Linked DNA regions of Drosophila melanogaster. The protein of the gene in region 2 interacts with the protein of the main gene of each other region in a pairwise test. Each region holds a gene or a part of one and is shown on either strand. Other genes may lie near its edges. The genes, in order: CG6688 and cona.

Evidence for each region.
Region 1: the proteins of cona (region 2) and CG6688 interact in a two-hybrid assay, tested with the Drosophila melanogaster proteins (one large-scale study listed by BioGRID).

Annotation. Positions count from the first base shown.
Region 1 is NT_033777.3:23,010,584-23,015,981, reverse strand, and holds CG6688 (uncharacterized protein), read right to left. Parts: upstream 3,571-5,398; 5' UTR 3,469-3,570; coding exon 3,310-3,468; intron 3,241-3,309; coding exon 3,172-3,240; intron 2,067-3,171; coding exon 1,944-2,066; intron 1,832-1,943; coding exon 908-1,831; 3' UTR 507-907; downstream 1-506.
Region 2 is NT_033777.3:18,383,707-18,387,387, reverse strand, and holds cona (corona), read right to left. Parts: upstream 1,561-3,681; 5' UTR 1,467-1,560; coding exon 1,362-1,466; intron 1,302-1,361; coding exon 1,002-1,301; intron 930-1,001; coding exon 754-929; intron 683-753; coding exon 640-682; 3' UTR 501-639; downstream 1-500. Other genes in the region: Vha100-4 (vacuolar H[+] ATPase 100kD subunit 4), read left to right, coding at 1-119, 176-441; CG14309 (uncharacterized protein), read left to right, coding at 2,387-2,691, 2,756-3,079, 3,168-3,681.

The DNA.
Region 1 (5,398 bases), 4.6 Mb from region 2:
TTCAATTAACGCGCTTAAATTAAACTGCCACTTCCTGTTTTGATGACATTTTCATGGCAGCCTCGCTCCGGCGAAGAAGCAGCGGGAGGCCATTCTGCAGCGATAGGAAGAATGCGGTTTGGAGTAACTGAAGCCTGTTGCTGGCGTTGCTCGCTCCTCCATTGATGCGGTTCGTCCGGCATCAATATTAAATGGTAAACGGCCGGCATAATGGCTGTCCAACTGCGGCTGTCATTATGGGGCCATCAGGAACCACCAGGACCAAGAAACCAGGGACTGGACAGGTTCCATGCCTGCTCCCGATGACAAATAAAGCTCATTACGCGCTTGTCCGGCATCCTTCACTTTGCCACTGATTGACCTGCATCTGCGCGTGGCGTCGCCGTCAGCAGTCATAAGTTGCACTGCACTGCGAGAAATGTTTGTACTTTGTGCCCTTGAGTATGCAGTGGGAAAAGGATTTTAGAATGAACAAGTACTCAAATAATGTTGCATATTCTATTGATCATTTGCACAAAGTCCAATTGACTTAAAATATTTTTATTCCTCTTGCGACGCTCCCTGAATGCAGTCCATCCGGACTTCATTATCGAGCTGACCAACTCGGACGCCAAATGACACAAAGTCATTGGAGCGTTCAGGAGTGATTCAATTAGAACTCAACTTGGCCAAGTTGAACTCTTCGCTGCAGTTAGCTGGACCAACTTCTTTGCATCTCCAGCGTGGGCCTTTGTCCCGGCCTGACACCCATACAATTCCTTTGGCCGGGTTCGTTTCTTTGCGCGATAAGCAACTTTGGCCAAGCAACTGGCATTTAATTTAATTAGAAAGGAAAACAGCAAGAGGGGCGGGGGGCGAATTGGGGACGCGCCTGATAAGAGGATGCTGTTGATTGAGATGCCCGAGCTCAAAGCAGACGGAAAGCGGATTTGTAGCAGCAGTTCTGGTGGAGGTCCTTTGCAGGATCCTGTGGATCCTGCAGCTTGCAGGGACAGCGGTACAACAGCGAGGCCGGCTTAGTTTGGACAACCTGCTGGGGCAAATCTTGGCTTGGAGTGACAGGAGGTATGCGAACGGGTTGCAATCCGGAAGATTCATTGATGCCCGGGCTAACGGAGGCTGGTAGCGGAGGGCCATGCAAGGATGTGGCAGAGATGTGGCTGCTGTTCGTTCCGGATTCCTCGTCAACGCCCTCGGCATTCGGCTTAACTCCTTCCTGCTGTAAATCATTCGTCGAGAGTGAAGGATGCGCCGCATTCGCGTCAAGCGTGGCATGCATTGTTGTCCTTTCGGGGGGCGTGGCTGTCACTGGCGATGTTCTGGCCGGGATTTCACTGGAGTCGCCAGCGACGTCCGTGGTATTAGTCCGCAGCAGAGTAGCGGCATTCGAGGGACTGAGGTTATCCGTCGAGTAGGCGCAGCCCTCAAGCAACTTGGTTAGGAACTTGTTCGTTGGCAGCACTGGCCTGCGCTTTCGCCAGGTGTCCTGTCCGGTTATCCTGTCCTGTCGGCCCACGACTGGCCGTGTTATCCCGGCAAAGAGCTTCTGCCGCAGCTTGTTCTCCGAGCGGCACATCTCGAAGGCGTTGGCAATGGTCAGGAAAATTTGCTCCGCCAACAGCGCTCGGCGGGGAGTGTAGAAGTCCCGGCAGACAGGACATCGCTCCGAGCGGATGCGACAGTCCACGCAGAGCAGGTGTCCGTTTTGGCACTGCATCGCCGGCGGTGAGATGGTCACCCCGCAGACAGGACACTCGACGAGGCGCAGGATGCTCTCCAGGACGAGGGACAGGCGGCGCAAACTGGTGGGCATGGGGGCGCAGCAGATGCTCTATGGATTTTTGAAAAAAATATTGTGTTAGCGCGATTTTAATGGGGAACGGATAACTGAGTGTGTTTGATGGTTTAAAGAAGGATTTCAGGACTGCAATGAAAATACTCACATTAGTATCACAGTCCTTATCACATTCACTGTTCCAACAGAGAATTGTGACGCAGTCCTTTTGACTCTTCACCATTTTGGCGATTTCAGACACTCTCAAGCCTAAAACATCGTTGCCATTTACCTGGAAATAAAATATTATAGAATTTTATAGAAAATGTCTGGAAATGTTGTTTATTTATTTTAGGAAATAAGTGCCATACAGAAAGCAAGTACCAAGTATCTAAATATTTGGATTTCCACGAGCTACCAAAGAAAACAAATGAATACCACAAAATATGGCCAACACAATTACAAATTCGAAAGCACTGCTTGCGGCTGTATCGCACGCACTGCTTGCGGATGTTAACCTTAGCTAGCACTGTTAACTCAATTGGCTGTTATCTGTTATCTGATAACTGATATTTGCTTTGAATATTTACTTCGTGCTAATTAATCTTTGTCATCAACTAGTTGTTTTACTACGTTCGAGTTGTGTCATTAGTTTTAGGGCGGGCTGTGCATTCACCAGCTGTTTCTAGTTCCCCACTCCACATCCAATAAAGTTTCTAAATAAAGTCGATGCCGAGCAATTAAGTTTTACTGCATTGCTATTTTAAGTAAACAATATCCACGAAGAACAACAAATGCGGCTACAATAGCGGCTGCAAAGTCCAGACTTGGATATATGTACGGTCCAACTTCCATAGCTCAAGCTATTCGTAATTTAAAAGACCATAGCGATTTGAATTTGTTTCTAGAAGTGCAAATCATCATATTGGAATGCTTTCCTGAATAGTACTTTTTATCTTAACTTACGATTCACACAAATTTGTAGAACTTATTGACTTGAAAACTCGCAAGTATACATAATTAGCTTTACAACAAAAACTACATTATTTTTCTAGCTGTTAGCTAACAAAAGGAACTTTTTTCTGATTATAAATATATTATAATTTTAATGGGTTCCTCAAACTCTGTTTTCTTCTATCCTAAGTGGAATGCACATAGTTGGGAACCTGAGTAGCAGTCTCAATAAGCTCTTAATAGGTTTACAAAGTAAATCCCCGCGTCGATCTATTGCATTCTTAATTTTGTAACTGGAGTTCAGGCGCAGATTGAGTTACCAATGCAGTTTAGTTACCAATGCAGTTGGTCTGCGCTGTGCATAATCCGCCAGTCCATTGCTGGCTGAGAGCTGAAAGAACTGACAACGGTGGCACCAACCTGTGGCACTAACTTCTACTCACCTCCAGAACGCAATCGCCGGGTTTCAGGCCGCAGAGAGCGGCAGGTGTGCCGGCTGCCACTTCGCAAACCTGTCGGTGTAATGGGTATATGGTAATTAGGAGGGGACGGGATCTCCAAACGATGGCCACTTTTATTACCCAGGGATAGGGATCCCATTTGCTGCGGGTCAGCTGAAATCCGTAGTTCTCCATCGCAGGTGCGGCTCTGGGAATTCTCAGTAGTCGCACGGAGGAGCCATCGCCATGCTGCCCATCTTCATTGGATGTGGAATGAAATCCTCCCGCTGATTTCCTCATTTTCGGGCTAGAAAACTCGCACAGGTGCTCGGATCGTTGTGGGCCAAAATAAAAAGCGGCTAGCGAGAGACGTGTTCAACGTGCGCTCTCAGTTGGCAAACTGTTTTTCGTCTGTCTGTTGATTTTTTTTCGAGCCAGCTGGCTGGCTGGTGTATGTGGCTGGCTGGCTGGCTGGCTGGCTGAAAAGTTGCCGAGCGGCGAGCAGTGAACATGGAGCGCTTTGGGCCGACGCAATCGGCTACGACAAACATTTTGGCCAAGCTCCCCAGCATCACACATTTAACCCCTTCCACAACTTAATGACTTTGGGCCATCTGACGCGGTGTTGTAAGTGCTCGGCGCCAAAATGTGGCTGCGGTTCAAGATCCGAGATTCGGAATTCGAGATCGGAGATCTGAGATCTGAGTTCCGAGATCCAAAGCTGACACCCAGCTGAGATCATGGAAATGAGACTTGTGGAGCTAAGTAAATATTTGAACTTTCGGGCTGGCAGCGGTTTTTGGGTGCGCTATAAAGTTGCATGTCTACGTATTGTGACACCTTCAAATATACCGAATAAATAAACAAATTCTTCAGCGATTAAGTCATTTGATAACCTGGTAAATTAGTTGGTTCGAATGTGCAGGCTGCTACAATTGTGCGGAAGTGAAATCGAGAACATGGCCAAATACAATAGTTTTCATAGAAACCTTCGGCTATTTCTCTTCGCTTTTCATGGAAACCTTCTGCTATTTCTCTTAAATTGAAAACAATAAAGCTGCGCTTATCACTTATACCATGTTTTGTTACTAGAGATTAAAACTATTAAGGTAAATATAGCAAAACAGCCCAAACAAATATAAATAGCCAAAATAAACTGAACAAGACCTGCAAATTAAGTGTTAAATTGTATATTTATACAGTTTGGTTACGGTTTTGGCACAAATCGTAATCAGATAAAATCGCTATTAGCAGTAATGCACACGAAACTTAATCAGTTTAATTCCCATTTGTTGACTTTAAAAGTTTTCCGACTTTGTAATTAAATTTGAAAATAAACAGCACTATTTTTCGGCTTAATTGCGTGTTGGCAGTGTCAAATGGCCAGTGCATTTGCGATTGAGTGGCCAGCAAGTAAACCAAAATATTATTATTCGAAATGCCAAAAGAAATTAAAACAACAACGACGAGTGTGTTGGCACCGCACTAGGGTGTCAAACGGCGATAAACATAAACAATGGGGCCCTAAATAAATAATTGGGTCTAAAACCGGCTCGTCGATTAACCCTAACAATGATAACTGATGGAAATTGGCAGCTGACAAATGGATTTGGTTTGGCATGGCCAAACCATCGACATCCATTTGACTTTCGCTTTTTTGTTGTTTTGTTATCGCCGGTTTAACTGCCATTGAGGCGGTAATTTGAGTTTGGCGCTGCTCTGGTCGTCTAAAACATTGGCCAAATAGCATTGAAATTGGTAATTTCATTTAAATTTGCGCCCAGCAAAACTGACCCTGGGCGGCATTGTGGTGCGTGGTGTGTGTGTGTGTAATTTGTTTTTGGCTTTTCAATTTGCCAGTTCAATTAGATTTGGCCAAATTTATGTGGCACGCAGAAGCGTTCGGCAGCCAAAAGCCGTCAGCAGTGTCAAAATTAGAGAATACTTACCCAGGCAATAACATCGAAATTCATGTTTCTCGGAAAGCCATCCACCTGAAAGGTAATTGACTTTTATTAATCGGCCAGCAATTAGGCCGGGCCCAAAGGCAAATGGCCAAATTCAAGTGCAATTCCGCCTCTTCACACTATTGGCTCTCGACTTGTTTGTGGCCAGTAGATGCGGTTTCCAAAAAACAAAATAAAACGATGAAAAGCTCGCTGAAGCCAAGTGCAAAGCTCTGCCCACAGGTGGCGCTCGCTTTAAGCCAAGTTAGTAGGTCTGCTGGTCA
Region 2 (3,681 bases):
CGAGCCGATGAGCGAAATCTGGATCCACCAGGCCATCCACACAATCGAGTATATCCTTAGTACCATCTCACACACGGCCTCATATCTTCGTCTCTGGGCCTTGTCCTTAGCTCATGCCCGTAAGAATCTGCTAAGTCAGTAATTGAATTTGTACTTCATGCAGATCTTATTTCAGAGCTATCGGAGGTGCTGTGGACTATGGTGCTGGCGATGGGACTTCAGATGAACGGCTACGTGGGCGCCATTGGGCTGTTTTTCATCTTTGCCGTTTGGGAGTTTTTCACCATCGCTATCATGGTCATGATGGAGGGTCTTTCCGCCTTCCTGCACACATTGCGCTTGCACTGGGTGGAGTTCATGAGCAAGTTCTATGTGGGAAACGGATATCCGTTCACGCCATTCAGCTTTAAGGATATTTTGATCGTCGTCGAAGATGATTAGAACCATCAGGATAGCCATCGTGATTCGCTCCTTGAAGAAGGTTTAATTAAAAAAGCATTACAGAATAAAAAGTACTTTATTTGTCAAATTATTTGGAAAACGCAGCAATATTAAGGATTATTTTTTGGAAGATGAGGTACGACCGTATTTTCCAATGCACCTTTGGCGATTGTTCAAGTGTTATTTGTTTTCCTGTACTTAAATTGCAGAAATTTTGGATTTTAAGTCTTCGATTATCCCACTGTGGAAAAAACAAACATTTGGGATACATGTTCTTGTACGGTTTTTTTATAACTCCTAATAGTTACTCACATGAGGTCATGTTCGATCTGGCCTAGAACACGGATATCATTAGCCATTGACTTTTGGGTGGTGTTAACAAATTCTCGCTTCTTTTTGAGCTCCTCGGTCTTTAAAGCCGTCTTAGCGCGAATTTCTTGCGTTTCTTTCTTGGTGTTAAGTATGGTCTTCTTTAGATCGTGGTAGTTCTGAAATAGAAAATATTTGGATAGAATTTTACAAACCTGCAAGATTACTGGTTTCTTGAGGAGATTACATACCATCACGGTGAACTCATCGAAGCATTTCGTCTGCTCCTGCATCTCGGCCTTGACCTTGAGCGCCTTCTTGCAATGGTCATCGTAGGCCTGGGAGACGTTTCTCTTGGCGGTGACCGCCTGATTGAGGCTCTCCAGGATCTTGGCGTTCTTCGTATGCAGAAAGTGGATGTCGTCCACAAGATTCTGGGAATTGGTGACATGGGTTAAGTCGTTCAAAGTGGTGTACTTCTCGGCAATCAGGACATCCAACTCCTTCTTCTTTTCATCGACCAGCGCGGTACGGTGATCATTTTCGGAGCCCTACAATAATATCAAAATGTATATAAATTTTAACTAAAAATGTTTCCTTTCTTAACTTACCAATTGGGCCACTGATTTCTCAATGTATGCTGTCACTTGGTCATCTTCCTCAGGTGGGACCTCAGTTTTGGAGTCTTCCTTGTTCCAATCTTGGTTACTACCCATTGCTCATGTAGTTTTGGATAACAATTTGTTTAACTGTAATAATAATTGTCGCAACGTTCTATTCAAGTTTTGGCGAAATTTCTGTTTTGACGTACAAAATGGCGGTCAACTTAGTGTTGGAAAACAGCAGATAGGTCGATGACGATAGCAACTTTCTACACACTTATTGGTGATAGATCTGTTGATGAGCGCGCTATTTAAATTTACACCAATTGGAAATATTTACGTTCTAGTCAAAGAACACAAATACTTCATAACTTTAATAGTTTCCATATCTGAAATTGGCATACATTATATTCACATTCATGTTCATATATTTATGTATATCACAGAAACTGTGGACGATCGACTCTGACTCTGGACTTGTGACTCTGATCAAAAATATAAATATATATAATAAAAATATATTCTTCTACATGTTTCACACTTTTCAGCGAATCTAATATACCCTCCTTTTACTTTGTGAGTATAACTGAAAGCTTTGACGTGATTTGTTTTGCAAAATGGTTCGTAACATTAAACTTTGTGTGAGAAACCTTCTTAATTTAAAAAAATGAGACGGTTTCTCTTCTCTTTTCTTCTAACAAACCGTGACCGCCAGCGAGGATGCCGAAGAACTGGCCTCCGCAGATTTACCCCAACCTTATTGGGTCATCTCATAGTTCATTGATAAGCACGGCATTCCAACCACGGCCCACTTGTATGTGGGTTTGGGTTACGTTAGTGGTGCATTGGAAGAAGGTCATCATATTGAGGGCAGCGATCAGCGCAAAATTCTTGCGGATGGCAGCGAAATCAGATGGAAATGATCGAGTGGGGAGTTTATTTAGAGGTAGTCATTATGAAACTCCGGTCAGTTGTGGAGCCATCGAGCAACAGACAGGTCTCCGGTCTTTCCATTCGTAATTCTGGATTAAAACATGTGGCATTTGTGTTTGGCTCTTTTGGGACTGGCGGTAGTGTGCTTTGCGGATACACTGGTTCAGCTCCATGTGAATCGTCCTTACAACGATGTGAACGAAAAGTTTGTCAGTTTTGCCGTTCGTCCGGAGGATCTGTACGATGCCCTGGATGGCAAGAACCGCAAGGCGGTGACCAATTTGGCGAATCTGCTGGGAGATGCGCACATCAAGTTCGTGGGAGATTTTTACTTCGCCAGCAATGCGCCAACTAGGCTGCGAAACCCCACCAAAATCATTTGGAAGGGGTTCAATCGGTGGTCGCGGTAAGTTGGTGGTGATGGCTTTCCTCCCATTTTCTGATCATCTATCTGACCTTATTTTTCGAAGGGCCGTAAACTGGACCATGATCATCCCGGTGCCTTATGCGCCCGATGATTGGGACTCCATGCATACGCTGAAGATCCTGAACACCTCCTATATGGTTGGCATCACCGACTGCATCTGGCAGCTGGGCACAGACTTTGGCACCTCCAGAGCCAAGGACTACGTCCAGGAACTTCGAACTCTCAAACTGATGACGGATACTTTCAAACCGTATGTGGACGACTGGCGACTAATGGGAGCGGACATTTCAGCTGGAAGCAGTGCTGATGAGACCAAGAGATACGTAGATATGTCCAAGGATCTGAATACGGCATTTGGATGGACGCAGTAAGTAGTGAGATTGGAAGTGAATGTATTTATGAACATTATAGAAGTAGCATCTTACCTTTTAATAATTATTTTGTTCCAACTGTAGACCCGCAAACATGCTGCCCAAATCAAGCCTGGGAAGCTACTTGTACGACAGCGATCCTGCCCTGCGAACCCTTCAGCAACAGCGCGTTCCCTTGTGGCTGACCTTGCCGGAGGAGCGATCCTCGCAGAGATTGGTGGGCGACGAGACCACGGATGCCTTGCGGTGGGCCCAAACTATGGGAGATGCCGCCGCTAGTGGATTCGATGTTATATTTAAGCGAATGAACTTGGTGGACTTCGAGCGACCAAACTTCAGTCTGTATGTAACTGCTTTGTTCAAGAAGGTCATGGGATCAAGGGTGTTCCCAGCCCGACCTCTGAACGCCTTTGCTCCGAGCAACAAGTTGTATACCCATTGTGCAAATGCCGTATCCGGAGGATTGGCATTCATGGTGGTAAATACGGAGGAGCAGCCAACAACGATTACTGTGAAGAGTACCAGTAGTTTGAGCAGTAGCGAGATTTGGCAGTATGTACTGACTGGCCATGATCAAAGGGTCCAGCTGAATAATGTC